2 linked regions of the Cricetulus griseus genome follow. The protein of the gene in region 1 interacts with the protein of each later gene in a pairwise test. Links are inferred from orthologs where the notes say so. Each region holds a gene or a part of one and is shown on either strand. Other genes may lie near its edges. The genes, in order: CUNH9orf16 and Cep290.

Region 1 (8,964 bases):
CTCCCCGCTTGCCAGAATGCATGAGGTTCCAAATGAACCCCTCTTTCCCATCACACATATATACTGCCCCTTTCACTTTGGCTGAGAGGAAGAGTGTGTCTAGATGGTGACTAGCCCTAACCTCAGCCCTGCAAGGGTGGGGGGGGACAGCTCAGCAGATGGTGTTGAAATCTAGGCTGGACTTCAGGAAGGGAGGAACAGAGGCTATGTTCAAGCCCAGAAAGGTTCCAGAATGAGATGTCCTGGTTAAAGCCTCAATGGCTAGCCATGAAAGGAAGCTACACCCCACACACTTCACTCCTGAGCTCCAGTCTGAGTCCAGATCTAGTTTCTTTCCTTTGAGTTAGAATCTTACTATGTATCCCTGGCTGGTCTGGATCTTTATATAGAGAAGACTGGCCTTGAACTCATAGAGCTCTGCCTGCTTCTGCTTCGAAGAGCTGGGATTAAAAGTGTGTACCACCATGTCCAGTTTATTTAAGTGGATGTTTTGCCTGCCTATGTGTATGTGAACCACATACATGCAGTTCCCTTAGAGGCCAGAAGGAGGAGCTAAAGTTACAGAGTATTGAGCTACCATGTAGATGCTGGGAATTGAACCTAGGTCCTTCAGAACAGTGTTCTTAAACTCTGAGCCAACTCTCCAGTTCTCTTATTTTTTTCTTTTAATGTGTGTGGTGTGGTATGTGTGTGTCTGTGTGTCTGTGTGTCTGTCTGTCTGTCTGTGTATAGATATGTGCACATGAGTGCAGGTGCTTGAGGAGGTCAGAGGCATTGGATTTCCTTGGAGATGGTGCTACAGGTGGGTGTCAACTGCTGATGTGGATACTGGGAATTGAACTGGGGTCCTCTGCAAGTGCACTGTATGTTCCCTCTCTCTAGCCTAGATCTAGTTTCTTGTGTTGGACTAAAGAAGTCAGTTTCCCATAACCTTTGCTGCTGTTGGTCTCTTCAAATCAAACTCTATGGCACAAATAGGGCTTTGTTTCCTCTTCCTGCTAATGCAGATATGAGTTTCCCATTGGCATTGAACAGGTTGCAATACATGGCCAGTTACAGCGGTATGCATGTACTCTCTTCCAGTTCCAGATTGAATTAGTTTGAATTAGCTTTGTGGTGTCCATGGGGTTGTGCTCCCTCTGGGGTTCTGGGGAAGAATCCACTTTCCTGCCTTTCCCAGATTAAGCCCCTATGCTGAGAATAGCCTGCACTCAGGACTAGCCAGGTGACACCAGGAACAAGCTGCTGGTGCCAAGGGGTCTCCTGGCTATTACAGATAGAGGAGTCCTGGTAAGTGAGCTTCCCTGAGACACCACCCTGACTCTGAGCTGGACTCAGGATTACACTTCTGAGTGCAATCTACAAGTGATTTTGGCTGGTGACTTTGTATGGGCCGCCTTTTCCCACCCAGTGCGTGGAGTGGGGAATGCCCCAAGCAGGGCTTTATCATGAAGCCTTCTCTGATGGACAGTGTCAAGCAGGGCCACTTAGCACAGACTTTCCGTGGCCCCGAGGGCACCTACAGCAGGATACAGCAAACCCTTTCCATACTGGGAAAGTGACATAGTCCTTGAGAAGGACCTCACACTCCTCTCCAATGCATGTCCTCCCTGTTTGTTGGCACGGGTCAAACACATTGGGTCTATATCTACTATCCAGGCTGGAATTTGGTCTGATCTCCACCCGTTAAGTGTAGCCTTTGAGAGCCTTAAGAGAAGTGATGGGAACAAGACTGGCCAAGATAGGACGAGGTCGTGGGTAATCTAGGCTGCACCTCAGGGAGATGGGAAGAATGCGGATTCCCGGGGACTGGGGAGGAGCGGTGCTGAGAACAGAGTTCTCTAGGCAGCCTTTGAAACCGCCTGTCTGATTCTGACCACGCAGAGGAGCGGAAACAGCAGGACGGAATCAAATAGAAGTCTCAAGCTCTAGCGGGCCAGGGTCTTTACTGCCTGGCTCGCTCCGTTGATCGCCGGGTGGGGGACAGGAGCGGAGAGGGACGCCGTTCGGAAGCGAGAGGAGGAGCCCGAGAGCGGACGGGAGCGGAGCCCTGCTTGAGGGCGTGGTTTGAGAGGATTCGGGGCGGGGTTCTGGGCGGGGCTCTGGGCGGCCCCGGTGCGCCGCTGCGTTCCACCCTTCCGGCACGGCGTTCCATCAGCTGCTTGCACCTTCCGCCTAGCTCCCGCTTTCCGCGCGGCGGTCGCTGAGTTTCATCTTTCCGTGGCCTCTGCGGCGCCCGAGCCCGCAATGTCGGGCCCCAACGGGGACCTAGGCATGCCGGCGGATGCGGGCGCGGAAGGCGAGAATGACAGCTTCGGGGAAGCAGGTGACCTGGGCGAGGGAGGGTGCTGCTGAAGTGACCTCTGCTTTGCTCGGGGTGCTGTCCTGGAATGGGGCCGGGATGGAGGCTGTGTAAGGGACTGAAGAGCCGTCCCACCCCTCCCCTGGGTGGTTCTGGAGTTGTCCCCACAGCCACCTCGGAGGCAATGGCGAGCACTAGTGAACGCATCCCTGGACGCCGCAATACTGGGGAACTGTCGCTAAGCAGCCCAGGTTACATATGGGGAAACTGAGGCGGCTTCAGACACGCTTTATCGGTTTGGGATTTGTTTCAGCCACTTTCTTCGCTGAAGGGGAGCAGGTTCTGCTTGGCCCTGCAGGTGTTGGCCTGGTGGGCGCCCCATATGCTGAGTCAGCACCCAGCCACCTGGCTTTGCTGGTGTGACCCGCTTACCAAGGACTGTGTTGGGCGCACAGCACTGCGGAAGGACTTCAGGGGAAGGGTCAGTCCACAGACTCCCTTTGCACGTTTTGGAGCCTCAGTTTTCCCATCTGCAATATCGGGTACATTGGTGTCTACTGTTTGGAGATGTGTCTGGATTAAAGGGAAAATGGGATGACTGTTCCCATTTGTTCCAGCATACAAGTTCCTTCTGAAAGTGGATAGATAGTCACACACACACACACACACACACACACACACACACACACACACACACACATTTCAAGTCTGGTCCTTACCCAGTGGGCAGGACTTGTGCAGTAAGAATGGAGTATGCTTTTGTTCTGTTATAAAAGCTTTATTGAGCTGTATGTCACACAATAGAGTTTACCATTTAAACAGTACAGTTCTGCAGACTTTCATATATTCACAGCATATCCATTATCACAACAGTTTTAGAATATTTTCATCACCCAGGTTCTGCTCTTAATGAAGGCTGCCTTCCAACTGGAGGCAGGTTGGGTCATTAGGCTTACAGTGGGCAGCCATGGTGGGGACATCATGAGGGGACCTGGTGAGGGGGCAGTGTAACACTGAGTAGACAGAGGGAGGAGGCTATCTGACCCAGGACAGGAGCAATGGTTGGGAGGTACTCTTGACATAGATGAAGCCTAGTCTGGAGACACCGCTTCTCACCTCACCGCTCTGCTAGCCTGCAAGACGTGGAAGGATGGATCATAACAGCTATGCATTAAATTCTTGCTGTGGCCAGACCCCAACTGAGCTCTTGGTGCACTGGAACCCTACCTCGGTGTTCCCTACTGCAATAAGGAGTTGCTGGGGTACAGCAGATCTGGAACTAAAACCTAAGGGTCTCTGACCTTCAGGTCTGAGTTTTGGCCCTGTCACCAAGTAGCTATGAGAAGCTGTTCTGGTTCCTTCTTTCTTAGGCTTCAGTTTCTCAATCTGTGCCATGAGGGATGGACTTTAAGACCCAGCAGTCTTCAGAGGCTCTATCCTCCTTGAGGGATGCCTTCTCTGGGAACCATCCCCCAAAGGCAGGCACGTTTGCAATCATATCCCAGACACCCTCCCTGGGCCTTTTTCTTAAATCCACCAGCTACTTCCCCACTGGTCCCAAGCTGGCAGCTAAGTGTTTCTGAGTCATGGGCTGGCTCAGAACTGTGTCCCGCAGTGGGCACAGACCCAGACCTTGGGTCCTAAAGGACATAGCATTGCCAAGAGGCATGTCAGAAGCTGATGTAGAGGAAAATAGGAAAGACTTCTCAGAGGGGGGAAGACTCCAAGGAGGAGGTATTTTGAGCTGGTCCTTGAAGGGCTGTTGTCGATGAATTCTAGATGGTAGACAGTTGAGCAAGAGCAGGGACTGGAAAGTCAGAGCTTCATTCATTCATCCATTCACTCATTCATTCAGTAAGTACTTATCTGTGTTGTCGAGGGCACTGGGGAAACAGCAGAGAACACAAGACCCGTCACCTCTCCCAGATCTTTCTAGTTGAGTGTGAGGTTGAGTACAGGCCAGCACCCAGATAGTCACAGTAGTGACTCCTGATGGGAAAACTGTGGAAGGTGGTGTCTAGAGGACCAGGACAAAGGCCTGATCCAGGGTGGGACGGCCTTGGTGATATCCATACCAAAACTTGAAATAAGTGGAATTCATCCCAGAGGGAAAGACAAGCAGGGCACCCAGTGTATTCAGAGGACCCGAGATAGGCTGAGCAGGTAGGAGGGGAGATGGGGATCAAGAGGGAAGTAGGGGCTGGGTCTGCTTCAGGGCCCAGAAGCTGCGGGGCACTATTGGGAAGGCAGAGAGAGCCACAAAAGGGCTGGAGGTCACATGCCTAGCACAGAGCCTTTGACTGCCCAGCTCTGGAACCTGGGTTCTGACTTCTAGGTAGCTGTGGAAGGAAACACAGAGGAAGCTTGGCATATGATAGGGCCACCAGCCAGGACACTGGCAGATTGCCCCAGCACCACACTAACCCTACAAAAAAGATGTGCTAAAGATGATTTGACACTTTGCCTCTTGTAGTACCTGTTAATTTCCTGCATGATGACACTGAGAATAAGAAAGTTGTGAGCTGGGACATTGGGTGCACTTGTCTGTCAGCCCTAAGGAGACACTGGACCTTTCCTCTCAAGGGTGAGCTGGGACACTGGGTGCACTGTGTCTGTCAGCCCTAAGGAGACACTGGACCTTTCCTTTGTCTTTTCCCTCCTCCCAGAGTATGCTGCCATCAACTCCATGTTGGATCAGATCAATTCTTGTCTGGACCACCTGGAGGAGAAGAACGACCACCTCCATGCCCGCCTCCAGGAATTGCTGGAGTCCAACCGACAGACACGACTGGAATTCCAGCAACAGCTTGGGGAGGCCCCCAGTGATGCCAGCCCCTAGGTGCCAGGAGCCCCCAACCGGGCCCCACCCTTGCCTCTCTAGGCCATGTTCTGGCCTGGGTAGATGCTACCTGGCTTAGACTCCATCTCAGGTACTGGCCTTCAGATCCCCCAGTGGGTCTACCAGCCTGGACCAGGCCCCACTGCCCATCATCCCTTCTGGAGCCAGGCGTGGTCCTACAACTCATTCACTTGTCTGCCTGCCCAGCTCCAGTCTCTTTCCCCTCCACCCAGGATATAGTGTCCATATTAAAGAGGCCTCCCACACCATTGCCCCTCTCTCATCTCTTTGTGCCAGGAAAAGGACACCATTAGCCACTGGAGGGCTATGTGACAGGGCTGGGGTTCTTAGTCACAGTTCATTTCTGATCCAGGGGATACAGGCAAGGCCAGAGCTTCCTCCCTACCTGGTATGTAGCAGCTGCTTCCCCGCCTGGCTGAGACAGACACACTGTGTGACTATTGGATACATTCAGTCTCTTTGGGCACTAGGGCCTTTCACCATGATAAACACCCCTAGGATCTGATGGCAAACCTTGGCAGCTTCCACTCTAGCTATAGTCTTCCCAGCTGGCACTAAAAGCCAGGCTGTCTTACCTCTAAGGGTCATTTCTTTAAATGAGAGAACAACAGGGCTAAGGCTGGGCTCCTTCACCTACTCATCTGACTCCAGATTAGGAGGCTGTGCTCTCTTGGCAAACCAAGAGCTAACCCTCAGCAGCAAGGACCACCGCCCCCTCAATCCTAACTCCACGTCTGACTGGCTTTTGTAAGGTGCAGCTGTACAGAGACCAACACAAGGACCAAGATTTTACACCTAGGGTGAAGTCCTTTCTGTTTGCCAGTCTGACTTTTGGCAAGTCACATGACCCTGCTAAGGCCTCAGTTTATCTGCAACTTGGGAATAGGAACAAGGCCATCTGCTAGGGTCACCAGCCATAAGGATTTTCTCTCAAGTTGCCTTTCTAACCACGATACACTAAGAGGAAAACTGAGGCTCAGAGAAGATCAGTGCCTTGTAGTCCTATCCCAGAGACCCTGCATCTCAGGGAGCCTGATTTTGGCTTCCCTGGTCCTCCACCACACTGTGTCCAGAGAGACTAGGTGCCCTCCCCATACCCACCCCGACACAGTGCTGGTGGGGACTGCAAAGCCAGACAACACTTTATTGAATTTTGGGTAAAAACACCAACCATGTGAACTTTTCCACAGAGACACCTAGGAAGCATCAACAGATTGGGACCCAGTCAGGCTAGGTGGCCACAGCGCCCTCTATCAGGTTTTGAGGCGAGTTGAGCGCCGAAGGGGAAGAGGGGGGCTGGGGAATCCAGGCTTCACCTTGCTCGGTATTTTCGCTGTGTCCTGGGTACTGGGCTGGCTGAGTGGGCGGCCACTGCCGCTGCTAGAGGTGAACAGCGCAGTCAAAGCATTTCGGGCGTTGATCGCACACCTGCGGCTCATGGGCCTGGTGGCAGGGCTGGGGTTCTTGGCTGCTTTGTATTTCTGGATACAAAAGTTTTCAAGTTAGGTGCAGCCTACAGGCACTCCTGGCTGGCAGCTTCCCAACTTGGGCCAAAACAGTAATCATCTGTTGTGTGACCCTATGTGAAGCTCTTAGCCTCTCTAGGCTCTGGAGTCACCCCCACCCAGACCCCCAACACACACACGCGCACACACACACAAAGGACATAACCAAAGAGCCAAGCCTAGATCTCTCCCTGCTGTGGGAGTATGCCAGTTTGAACAGAGGTTGTGTCCCTGGGCAGGACAGTCAGATGGACACTCACCTGCAGGTTCTCAAAGTGGGCCAGGGACTTGCAGTGAGAGAGCCGTAATCCTGAGTTACTGTCATAGAACTTGTGACAGACACGGCAGACATAGCCCATCACGGGCACCAGGAAGTCCACACCTGAGGGACAGACAGCAGGGGCTGCATACTCAGGTCCCCCTAAACAGCTGGGTGACACACCTTCTCTAGGTGGGAGAAGAGAAAAGCACCAGGGTTGGGCTGCCTGACTGGAGAGCTGTGACTGAGATTGGAGGGCTTAGCTTGGGGTCTTACCATATGCCGTGTTGGGGCTGTAAGTCTCTGGGCCCTTCCATTCCTCTAAAGATGTATCTCTTGATCTCACCTGGAGAGGGAATGAAGGCTCAGATATGGTGCCTCAGGCCCCACCCAAACACATGTCAGGGGCCTGCAGTGTGCCCTTAAGTCTCCAGAGCATAAGCCATCCCCTTGGCTTACAGCTCGTTGAGGGTGGCCTTCTCTAAGCTGTGGTACACGCGGGCCCTGACTATGTTGTGGGTTTCAGTTAGCTCCTTCTTCCGAGCCAAAATACCCCTTCCTTTCTTAGGCTGCTTTTTTAATGCATTTGAGTGTGTGGGGGTGTGTGTACCCAAGGCTAGTACTTGTCAAATCTCCAGAACTGGAGACAAAGGCATTTATGAGCAACCTGACATGGGTGTGGGGAATTGAGCCCAGGTCCCCTGGGAGAACAGCATAGCTTTTCACCACTGTCCTTCCTGCCCCCCTCCCCCCAGTCAGGGTCTTGGTATATAGTCCATGATAGAGCTCTCAATTTTCCTGCTTAAGCCTCCTTCGTGCTGGAGCCTCTATTGCCCCCTCCCCCTTCTACTGGAGAGTGAATCTAGGGTTTTGCACATGCTAGGCAAGCACTCTACCACTGGGCTATAGTTCCTAGTCCTCTGCCTTCCCCTCCCTACCCCTAATCCACCTGCATTTCTTTTACTTTGTCCAGAAAAAGCATGAAAATCTTATACAAAGCCTCACAGGACTGCAGACAGTCTGCTATAGCATGCCTTCTGCGTCTGGCTAAACACCGTTCCCTCTGCCCTCCCTTCCCAACACAGTCAGTATCTCAGCCAGCCCTAAAGCCCTTGCAAACTTCACCTGTCACTTAATAGCCACCCCTGTGCCTATTTCCATGGCCATGTGACACAGCCCATAACTGTGTCATGCATTTAGTGCCTATAAATGCCAGCAGTGTCTGCATCCCTCAAGGAGCAGGAAAGCCCCTCTGGCTCCAGCAGCCTCGAACAGCCCACCCCACATACCTGCTTGCAGAATTCCTCCTCAGCCTCAATCTCTTCCTCTTCCTCATCCTCTTCATCTTCTTCTTGATCACTCTCAAAGCAACCAACAGCATCCACTGTGATGAAGTGGTCCTCCTCTGGGCTGGTTGTTTCCTTTTCAAGTGTCTTCAGCTGCCCAAGGCACGGGCAAGGGGCCTAGGTCAGCTATGGGCAGCTGAGGTACCACACTGCTGAGGGTTCTAGGTCCTCTACCTGCTCTATGATGGGGGGGGGGGAAGCTTCATGCTATACTCAGGTGCAGGGGTGGCGGTGGGGAGTTACCTCCTTGGCCTTATCTTTGTGTCCCTGGGACTTCACATGCTCCACAAACTTTCGAGGGGTCTTGAAATAACGGTTGCATATGGTGCAGAAGGGTCTCAGGGATTGTTTGGCGATCTGGGGAAAGGAAGGCAGGCTATGAGGTACATTGTAGCATTCCCCCCCAGATACAAGCTACCTATAGTGGCCCAATGAGACCTCACCTGTCAAACCTGCGGGCCCAGCTCAGCTCCGCCCCCGCAACGGGACATACAAAATCACTTTTCTTCAGTATGTGGGATGGTAGGCGGCAACACAGGATAGGAGGGATGATAGCCACTAAAGACATCCCAGTAGGCTAGTGGCTGAATAGCAGGGTGAGCTAGTACCTACACTCAACAGATGGGCAAAGTAAAGCCCAAAGAGGAACATGACTGACTCACCAGAAGCCGAATGAATGACAGTCACATGGA
Region 2 (8,864 bases), on another chromosome or scaffold:
ATCAACCTAGAAGTTTTACAGTTGCTGAAGTCAATCTCCACCTCAGATCTTAGGCTCTTTAGGATCACTTTCATTTTCTATTTTAATTAGCACATGTTAATTGGGATGCTTATTCATCAATACCATTTTTTTTTACTGCTAAATATGTAGCCAAAGATTTGACTAGAATAATATAGTCTTGAATATTTTACTGTGCTTTAAGCTAAATTTTAAATTAGTGAAATTACATACTAATGCCCATAGTAATTTTTCTTTATATTTCTAGAATGTATGAGACCAAGATGAAAGAGCTCGAAAGTGATATTTCCAAAAAGAATCAAAGCATTGTTGACCTTAAACAGCTTGTACGAGAAGCAACAGAGAGAGAACAGAAAGCTAAGAAATACACAGAAGATCTTGAACAACAGGCATGTACATGTAATAGTCTCTAAATGATAAAACAATGTAATATATCTCAAGATAATCCCTGAATTGCCTGAAGGTGAATACACTGAACTCCTGAATAATGTCTCTCCTAGGAGACTCAGCTAGTGAATGGTACTTAACTCATCTTCTTATGCAAGCCCAAACTAGATCATCACCAATTTCATTCTCTTATTTTCCACATCTAGTGCTCAGTGTGGAAGCCATTGTCTTATACCTGAGTGACTGCAGTCATTTCCTAACTAGTCCCTGGGCTTCCACTTGCATCATTTCACCTATTCTATACTACTATTCTCCACAAAGTTATCAAATAATCCTGTAACACATAGAGCAAATTATAGTTTTATTCTGAGACTCTTGTAGTTCCCCATCACCCTGGAATGAAACTTGGTAACATTTTTTTTCATAGCCTGTGTCTATGTACAAGGTCGAACACTTTGCATCTTCTACCAGGTGTCCCAACATTAACTCTCTCAAACCTCTGAACAACTGCAACTCTATTAGGCTTCAGTTCTTTATACCTGCTTGCCATCTAGAACACTCGTCACTATCCCGAATATTCTTCTGACTCCCTTCAGAGACTAGACCAGCAGTCTGTTACCCTGTTCTCCCTGGATTCTTTTTCTGGACAGTCCTTTCTCCCCATCCTGCCCTGTCACATTCCATCTCATCATATGACAGTACAGTTGTTGGTTTTTACTCCTTGGCTCTGTTGGGGGGCCCACTACCCAAGTACCCAAATAAATCCTACATGTAGGCTTATTCTTAGTTATGAATGCCTGGCCTTAGCTTAGTTTGTTTTTAGCCAACTTTTCTTAACTTATCCCATCTACCTTTTGCCTCTGGCTTTTCCCTTTTCTTACATCTGTATATCTTACTTTCACTCTTACTCCTTGGGTGGCTGGGTGGCTGGCCCCTGACATCCTCCTCTCCTTGTTCTCTTGCACCTCCTTTTCCTTGTTTCTCCATTTATATCTCTGCCTGCCAGCCCCACCTGTCCTTGCTCCAGCCTCGCTATTGACTGTTCAGCTCTTTATTAGAACCATCAGGTGTGTTAGACAGGCACAGTAACACAGCTTCACAGAGTTAAATGCAACATAAACAAAAGTCACACACCTGAAATTAATATTCCTTCCTGAGTAAAAGTCAAACGCCTCTGTAAGATATTCCAGCTATTCTATATGCTGTGTCCTCACTACCTTGGGCAGCAGTGAGTTGCTTAAGCATTGATGGCTTGAGTGTATAGACTGGAACACAGAACTGTGGTTTCATGTTTCCAAAGACCCAAATGTTATTAAAAGTTGGTCTTTTTAGAGCCTTTTACTTCCATGCTAATCTTTTATCTCTTAACTAATGTTTCTCTGTCTCAAAGATTGAGATCCTCAAAAACGTTTCTGAAGGTGTGGAGACAGATCAAGAGCTTATCCAGGAACTCCAGCTCCTTAGGTACATGTTATTATGTTTAGTTGACTACTTAAGTATTTTTTTTAACATGTTTTCTTTTTCCTTTGTGTGTGTGAATGCACATGTGTACACAAGTACATGCTGGGGGCGGGGGTTTGGTATGTGCAGGCCACCTGTGAAGGAAAGTCAAAGGACAACTTGCAAGAGTTGGTTCTTTCCTTCAAAGAATTGAAATCCACTGAACTCCTTATTGTTCATTTGTTCTTAGAAAATTATTTTATACAGCCAAATTTGCCACACCTAAAGATGAGGAACCCAATACTAATATTTCCAGAACGTAACTTAAGTTTTTCTAGAAGCACAGAATTAAACTTTGGCATTGCAGAACCAAACCATAATGAAAGAAAACAAGTAATCCTACCTTCTGGGAGTTTGTGCAGCCTCCTCTCATTGTAAGAAAAGCACTCTTGAAAATAACATCAGGAGTGAGATTAGGATAAACTTAGAATTTGTGTTGTTTGGGAATGAAGCAATGAAGCCCAGAGAGTAAATGTTTTCCCTTGGTGATCCTGCTGCCATCTCTTAAGCATATCCTCCCAGCATACATGACCAGACTCAGCTGTGCCCTTGGTAAATGCTGTTTTGAGTACCGTATACTACTTTATAGGAAATGCCTACCTACTTTATGAACTGGCACCCAGTGCTTATTTTTTTAACATGCTGTCATTGTGTTCTAGATTAGCCAATAGTAAGCTGGATAAAGAAAAGGCAGAACTAATCCATCAGATAAAAGCTAACAAGGACCAAACTGGAGCTGAAAGCAGCACACCTGGTAATATATTTCATAAAACGTGTTGGCTATCCCAAGTTTCTGATTTAAGGCTTGTCTTTTGTTTCTATAGTATCAAATTCTTGACAAGAGTATTTTGAGCTATTTTCTCTCAGGCTATGAAAATATTCCCATTTAACACTTAGATTGCTTATACTAAGTGGCCTAAGTTTTTCTCCTCGTGATCCACCTAGGTGTTACAGTCTCAATCATAGTATATTATCAAGCACTAAATGCTGTCCTGTGCTTCCACTTTCTAAATGTAGGTCTCTGAATCCCTATGAACATATTCTTCTGAATGTTACTAATTGTTGTTTTAATTCTAAAACTACAGTGCTATTTTTTTCTATTGCAAATAAAAATGTTATTTTTATTCCTTTCAACCCCTATTCTGATATTAACAGTCATTCCCCTGTATAACAGTTACTTACAAAACATCTGTGTGTGTACACAAAATCAATTCAATGCTTTTGCAAACAGGTACAATGACAAGTTTAAACAGTCCCCCATCTTCCCACATCAGGGCCAACAAGGTAGTGCTTGGCCTTCTTGTTTCAGTTTTCCTCCAGAGGTGATCTAGGATGGAGTCCTGGGTACCACTATAGACTAATAGGAATTTGAATCATAGCTTTGACACTTTCAATGGGACAACCTCAGAAAGGTGGCTCAACACTTAGGAATGTTTTCTTTTGAGACTAAAGAAAATATAATAGGTCAGGGTGAGTTGACAATTCTAGTTATGTATATGTGTTTGCATGCATTTGCATTTCTCCTAGGAACTGTGGTTTGATATTTGCTAATTGCACCAAGATTACAGGATAAAACTTTTAACAGTTAAAGAGAACTGGCCTTAATGTATATTGATTTTTTTCTGGATTCACACTATGTATTTATAGCTTCTCTTGTAGTAAGACCTGTGCATCATATTTTTTTCATAATTCTGTAGTACACTATTGAATGGATAGTGAGTTTACCCCAGGATGGAATTTTAGTATAGTTCCAAAGCTTCTGGAATAACTACCCTGTAGCTTCTAACCTAATCATGCCATTATCTGATAATCTGATGGAAGTGTCATGTTCTACCCTACAGGATTATACCAATTTATATCTGAATAATTTTAAATTATTTCATAGAGCTACTGTAGTGTCCTGATGCTACTTTGTATTAATGCATGGTATGATTTGTGCCAGACACTATGCTAAGGACTTTACAAAATTTTCACTTTATTCTTATAATGCCATAGGATAGATATTGTTGTCTTCATGTTACATTTTATAAATGATTAATAACCTATCCTCAAGATCACAAGTAGGAAGTGGCACTGGAAGGTAATTCTCTGAAAGTTCAGAACTCCTTACCATGGCAGAATCTTAACCACTGTGCTGCTGTGCTTTTTGCTAACTAAAAATGGCATTCATCCATCTGGAATAGATTATGTGACTGCTAGGGGATAGCTGGGTGTACTTGTAACAAACACAGTAACAAAGACCTATCCTGTTGGCATTAGGCAAGTTCTCTAACTTGTCTAAACCCAAGCCCTTATGTACTTAAGAGAAAGGAGGTAAGAGAAAGGAGGAAAGGTTACATTTCAGAGAGTACCTGCTTCAACATTAACCTGTTTGGACATTGCTAAATCAACATTTAAAGATGTGGACATTTAAAACACTTTTGGAAAATGTTGTATTTTCTTGCTTTATTGTTTCACCACCACTCTGTATATAATATAAAGGAGCTCACTGACCATGGACAAACTAACAGATATGTGCATACTCATGTTATTGGGGCACTACTCATAGTAAGTAGATGATAGGATCAGCCTGTGTGTCAATCAACAGATATACTCATAAAATGTGGTGCACATTTTTAGGAAAACAGAACTACAGATCATCTTGCTCAGTAAAATAGGCCAGTCTCAGAAGACAAATATCAAATATTACATCTTTATGAGCACTACAATACACTTTTCTGTCCTTGTCATGAAACCTCACACTACCTTTCAATGATTGCAATAGTGTGATATCTTAACCCTTGTGCCCCTTGTCAACAGCTGATTTCCTACCAAACCATCAGGGCCATACTCTATCTGTGCCACACACCTTGCCTTGGAAGTTTTGCACGCAGTGAAAAAAAAAAAAAAAAAAAAAAACTAAGCTGGCTGTTATTGCCTTCTACCTCAAATATTTCGTACATAACAAATTTTACTGGTATTAGGAGGATTTTGCTCTTAAAAATAGAAATTTCTCTTATGGAATAACCCACTTTCTGTTTTCTTGCTATGGAATGACCTTACTTACTAGTGGTAGCATGCAAGTATACCTGAGAAGTGTTCCCACCATACAGTGCCAGATGATTATAGACTGTAGGCTTCATAAATTTCCTTTTTATTCTGAAATTAACCCTCTATCTTTAACTCATTCTAATTTTATGACTATTTTTGGCAGATCCTGATCAACTAAAGGAAAAGGTAAATGACCTAGAGACACAGCTCAGAAAGTCAGACCTAGACAAGCAACACTTGAAGGTAATTCTTACTTATGTCTGACTTAAGAACAGCTGTGGGAAATGGAATGTGCCCAAAAATTCATGGACTTAATTTACTTACTTTAATATAGAGAGCTTTTAGTTAGCAACAACAACAAAAAACAGACAAATAGAAAGGTCTAGAGAATAATTTATTTTTAAATTATAACAAATGTATCTCAACATGTTTTTTTTTAGTATTTTCTTAATTTGTGGGTCGTGGGTCATGGCAACAGTTTTTCTAAGTACCTTTTGGAATTACGTTCAGGATCTTTCCCTTAAAATACTTCTGTGCTTTACTTATGACGGAGCTCATGCTTGGGTAGTGTAAACAGCCAGTGTAAAACAGCCATTGGCACTCACATTCCCCTCACACGCCCCGGGATTTCCATGATCATAAATATTATAAAAGTAAAAACAGAACTTTAAAGAAAATACGACAGTAAGAAAATAAGACAGTAATCTCAATGCAGTGAAGAGCGGAGTCCCTTTTGTTTGCCTAACAGAATATCTGACACAGTTCAAAGACTCGACCTCACTATAATGGAAGCACACATATTAAGTTATTCATATGGTACAAAGGTAAATATTTTTGTATTTACTGTTCAAGTTATGTGGGTTTTCATGTTTGTTTGTAATCCAATCTTCCTATATGTGACTTTTAGGAGGAAATTAAAAAGCTGAAAAAAGAACTGCAAAATTTTGATCCTTCATTTTTTGAAGAAATTGAAGACCTGAAGTACAATTATAAGAAAGAAGTGAAAAAAAATATTCTCTTAGAACAGAAGTTAAAAAAACTTTCTGAGCAATTTGGATTTGAATTACCTAGCCCTGTTGCTGCTTCGGAAGATGGAGAAAGTCCTGGAGAAAGTCCTAATAATTTCCCTATTTATTAAAGACCCATTTTTACTACAGAATTCACATGTCAAAATACTGTATATTTGCTTAAAAATAAAATCATATTTAGTTTTAACTTGGTAGAAAAGTATATTTTTGAAGATGTGAATAACTTATGACTATACAGTACACAATGAGCTATGATATTCCTATTTTCATAATTAAATTTTCTAAAATCATAAAGGTAAGCTGTAAAATTGAAGCTTCAGATGTAATTATTTTATACTTATATTTGTGTTAAGATATTCAAGATATTAAAATCCTATAATTTTGATAAATAGATATGTTAGTTTATAAATATGTTAGTTTAGTTATGACATGTTTTACCAAATATCTAGCAAAATTAAATAGAACCTTCAGTTACTTTAACCTCTGTAAACATAGCAGAAGACTCATCAATATTAGAAAACATTTTATACATCAAGCATTATATCTTTAAGCCTATCAAATTTCTGTTTATCTTTTTTCAAAAACTGATTAAACAAACACTCATTATCAAAAGCACAGTCATATTTGTTTAGGTTCATGTTAACAATAACTGGTTTGGAATTCATGTAAGTATCTGGAAGTGGCCAGCATAAACCAAGATGATGGCGATGAACCTGTAAAGAGGAAAAAGTGGCATAAGCTTTAGTCTTTGAGTGCCTGCTACCTGCCAGGTACAGTGTAAGGATCTATATTATATTACACTTATTTTAATTAAATGTCATAGCTGTTCTTTGACATAGTGCTGTCTGCCTTTCCCATTAGAATATGAGTATTCCCATGAGAATAGAGTAGAATCAAGGGCTCCTCCAAAATGTAATGACTATAAGTCTGTTGGAGAGCTAGACTCGTGGAGTATTAGTGTAGAATGGTAGGGTGGTCAGGATCAAAGTTGGCTGGGACATTGCTGTAGCTGTTTCCTCCACATGAAAACATCCCCTCTGGAGGGAGGCTCTGGACTCATGAAGTAAGCAAACCTTCACAAGTCCTGAAGCTTTTAAGATTCCAAGATTCTCTGCAAGGGTACAGGAGCACTAACAATTGGAGTGAAGGTTCTCCTTACACCAGAGCAGGGAGTCCCCAGTATGCTGCTTTTGTGAGTTGTAACTCAAGCTGGGGAGGGCTTCTTACTGATCCTGCTGCCTCCGGGTCCTCCATGCTCCTTACCCAGATTCCTGTAAGTAGCCCCAATAAAGGCACTGGCCCACTAAGCCCCACTTGGATGGAATCCTTTCTTTCTCTGTCTTCAGTTAGATCTCTCGCTACAAAACTCCCTACCTAGTAAGTTAGAAGTGCTGTCTTAATCGGAGAACACAGTGTGCCAAATAAATGCCCTATCACTAACTCTAGAGCACATCCTGTACATATAGCCAGTGCCCAGCCCAACACCACCATCTGTATATAGTGCTGTCTGACACTTCCCATAAACTCAATTCAGTTTTACCCTATAAGAACTATAGGGAAATATACTAACTGCATGCCAGAACTGTAGGGGAAGCTGTAGCCACGCCTTCTTAGGGGCTGGCTACAGGAGTACCTGGGCAGGCTTGTGAGGGCGTGGTCAGAATGAGTAGGGGGGTCTGTGTTTTCCGTTTCGGTTTCTCTTTGCTTCTTGCTGTACAGACTATCACCTGCTGGCTGGTTCGCTCTGTAAGCAAGGCTTTTCCCTATTAAATACCCTTATATTTCTATCTGACTCCGTATTGGTAATTTCCTACTATATCTGGGATGCCTCAGAAGCAGAATCACTCCAATCCCAGGCACCTACTCCACCCAGGTATCGTGACTATTCTTCTAAGATTGTTACTCGTACACCATTAGTGTACCCAGCTACCATAGTAGAAAAGCCAGCCCCTAAGAAGGCGTGGCTACAGCTTCCCCTACACAGAACTAATAAAGTCTATAAACAGAGTCTGAGTATCACATCTTTAAGAGCAAAATCCACTACAAGCTGTTTTTGTCCTTACCTTAATTAAACAGCCATCACCACAATGCCATACAATCCCTTCAATTTTACCCTCTCTGCAGTCTTCAAACCAGGACAGCAAGTCATTGTGTTTCAGTGTAGGCAGATTTCTTACTGGAAATGCTCCATGTGGTATAAGAAAGTGCAATGGCGATTTCTTGCTTCCTAGCCCTAAATGGTAAAATTTGCTATTAACCATGTTCAATCATATTCCTTTCAGAAAATCTACCTCCCCAAATGTATAAATGTATAAACATTTAGGAGTAATGTTATCAAAAAGTTTACTTGATTTTCTGTAGAGAATAATCCAAAGTGCATTACATCTTGTTCTCACTCAAATGTGACACTTTTTCCAAGAAACTAGAAATTCCACTTTCATGTACTCTCTACACTGGGAGCTGGCACACTGACTGCAGCCTTATCCATTCATATAAGTACTACTGATATAGTCCATATCAAAGATACATCTTTAAAATATTTATTTTGAAATATTTGTTAGCCAACATTTTTACAGAAATTTGCTAGCATGTGCTATCTCATTAGCTATATTCTGCTTTATTCAGTGCTTAACATCATCTATGATCCTGTATTAAGCTTAATACCCATCAATCAACCTACTTAAATTTGTGTGTGTGTATGTATGGTCACATACATGTTTCTGTGGAGAACAGATGTTCTCCACAGACAGGGGCATGGCACAAATTTCCAAAAGTCCAGGCTCATCAGGATCATGCCTTAGTACCAGGGCAATTCCAAACTCGTAATTCACTACGGAGGAATGCCAACAATACTGCTTGCTGTTCTTTTCCACTGGTACCCAACCTGTTATTTAAAAAAAA

The links.
Region 2: the proteins of CUNH9orf16 (region 1) and Cep290 interact in binary tests that used the Homo sapiens proteins (3 or more experiments, as listed by UniProt). The two-hybrid records come from large-scale screens. The link is inferred for Cricetulus griseus from reciprocal best matches to the Homo sapiens genes BBLN and CEP290.

Annotation. Positions count from the first base shown.
Region 1 is NC_048599.1:144,108,254-144,117,217, reverse strand, and holds CUNH9orf16 (UPF0184 protein C9orf16 homolog), read left to right. Parts: upstream 1-2,136; 5' UTR 2,137-2,247; coding exon 2,248-2,326; intron 2,327-3,080; exon of another isoform or gene 3,081-3,414; coding exon of another isoform or gene 3,415-3,435; intron 3,436-4,775; coding exon 4,776-4,886; intron 4,887-4,968; coding exon 4,969-5,141; 3' UTR 5,142-5,412; downstream 5,413-8,964. Other genes in the region: Ciz1 (cip1-interacting zinc finger protein), read right to left, coding at 6,416-6,643, 6,928-7,049, 7,203-7,272, 8,216-8,365, 8,516-8,629. UniProt on the Homo sapiens protein: Essential for intermediate filament organization in intestinal cells, interacts with intermediate filament and regulates intestinal lumen morphology.
Region 2 is NW_023276806.1:166,138,370-166,147,233, forward strand, and holds the end of Cep290 (centrosomal protein of 290 kDa), read left to right. Parts: intron 1-265; coding exon 266-407; intron 408-1,795; coding exon 1,796-1,869; intron 1,870-2,564; coding exon 2,565-2,659; intron 2,660-5,098; coding exon 5,099-5,178; intron 5,179-5,310; exon of another isoform or gene 5,311-5,842; coding exon 5,843-6,073; 3' UTR 6,074-6,150; downstream 6,151-8,864. Other genes in the region: C1H12orf29 (uncharacterized protein C12orf29 homolog), read right to left, coding at 6,488-6,676, 8,027-8,196. UniProt on the Homo sapiens protein: Involved in early and late steps in cilia formation. Its association with CCP110 is required for inhibition of primary cilia formation by CCP110.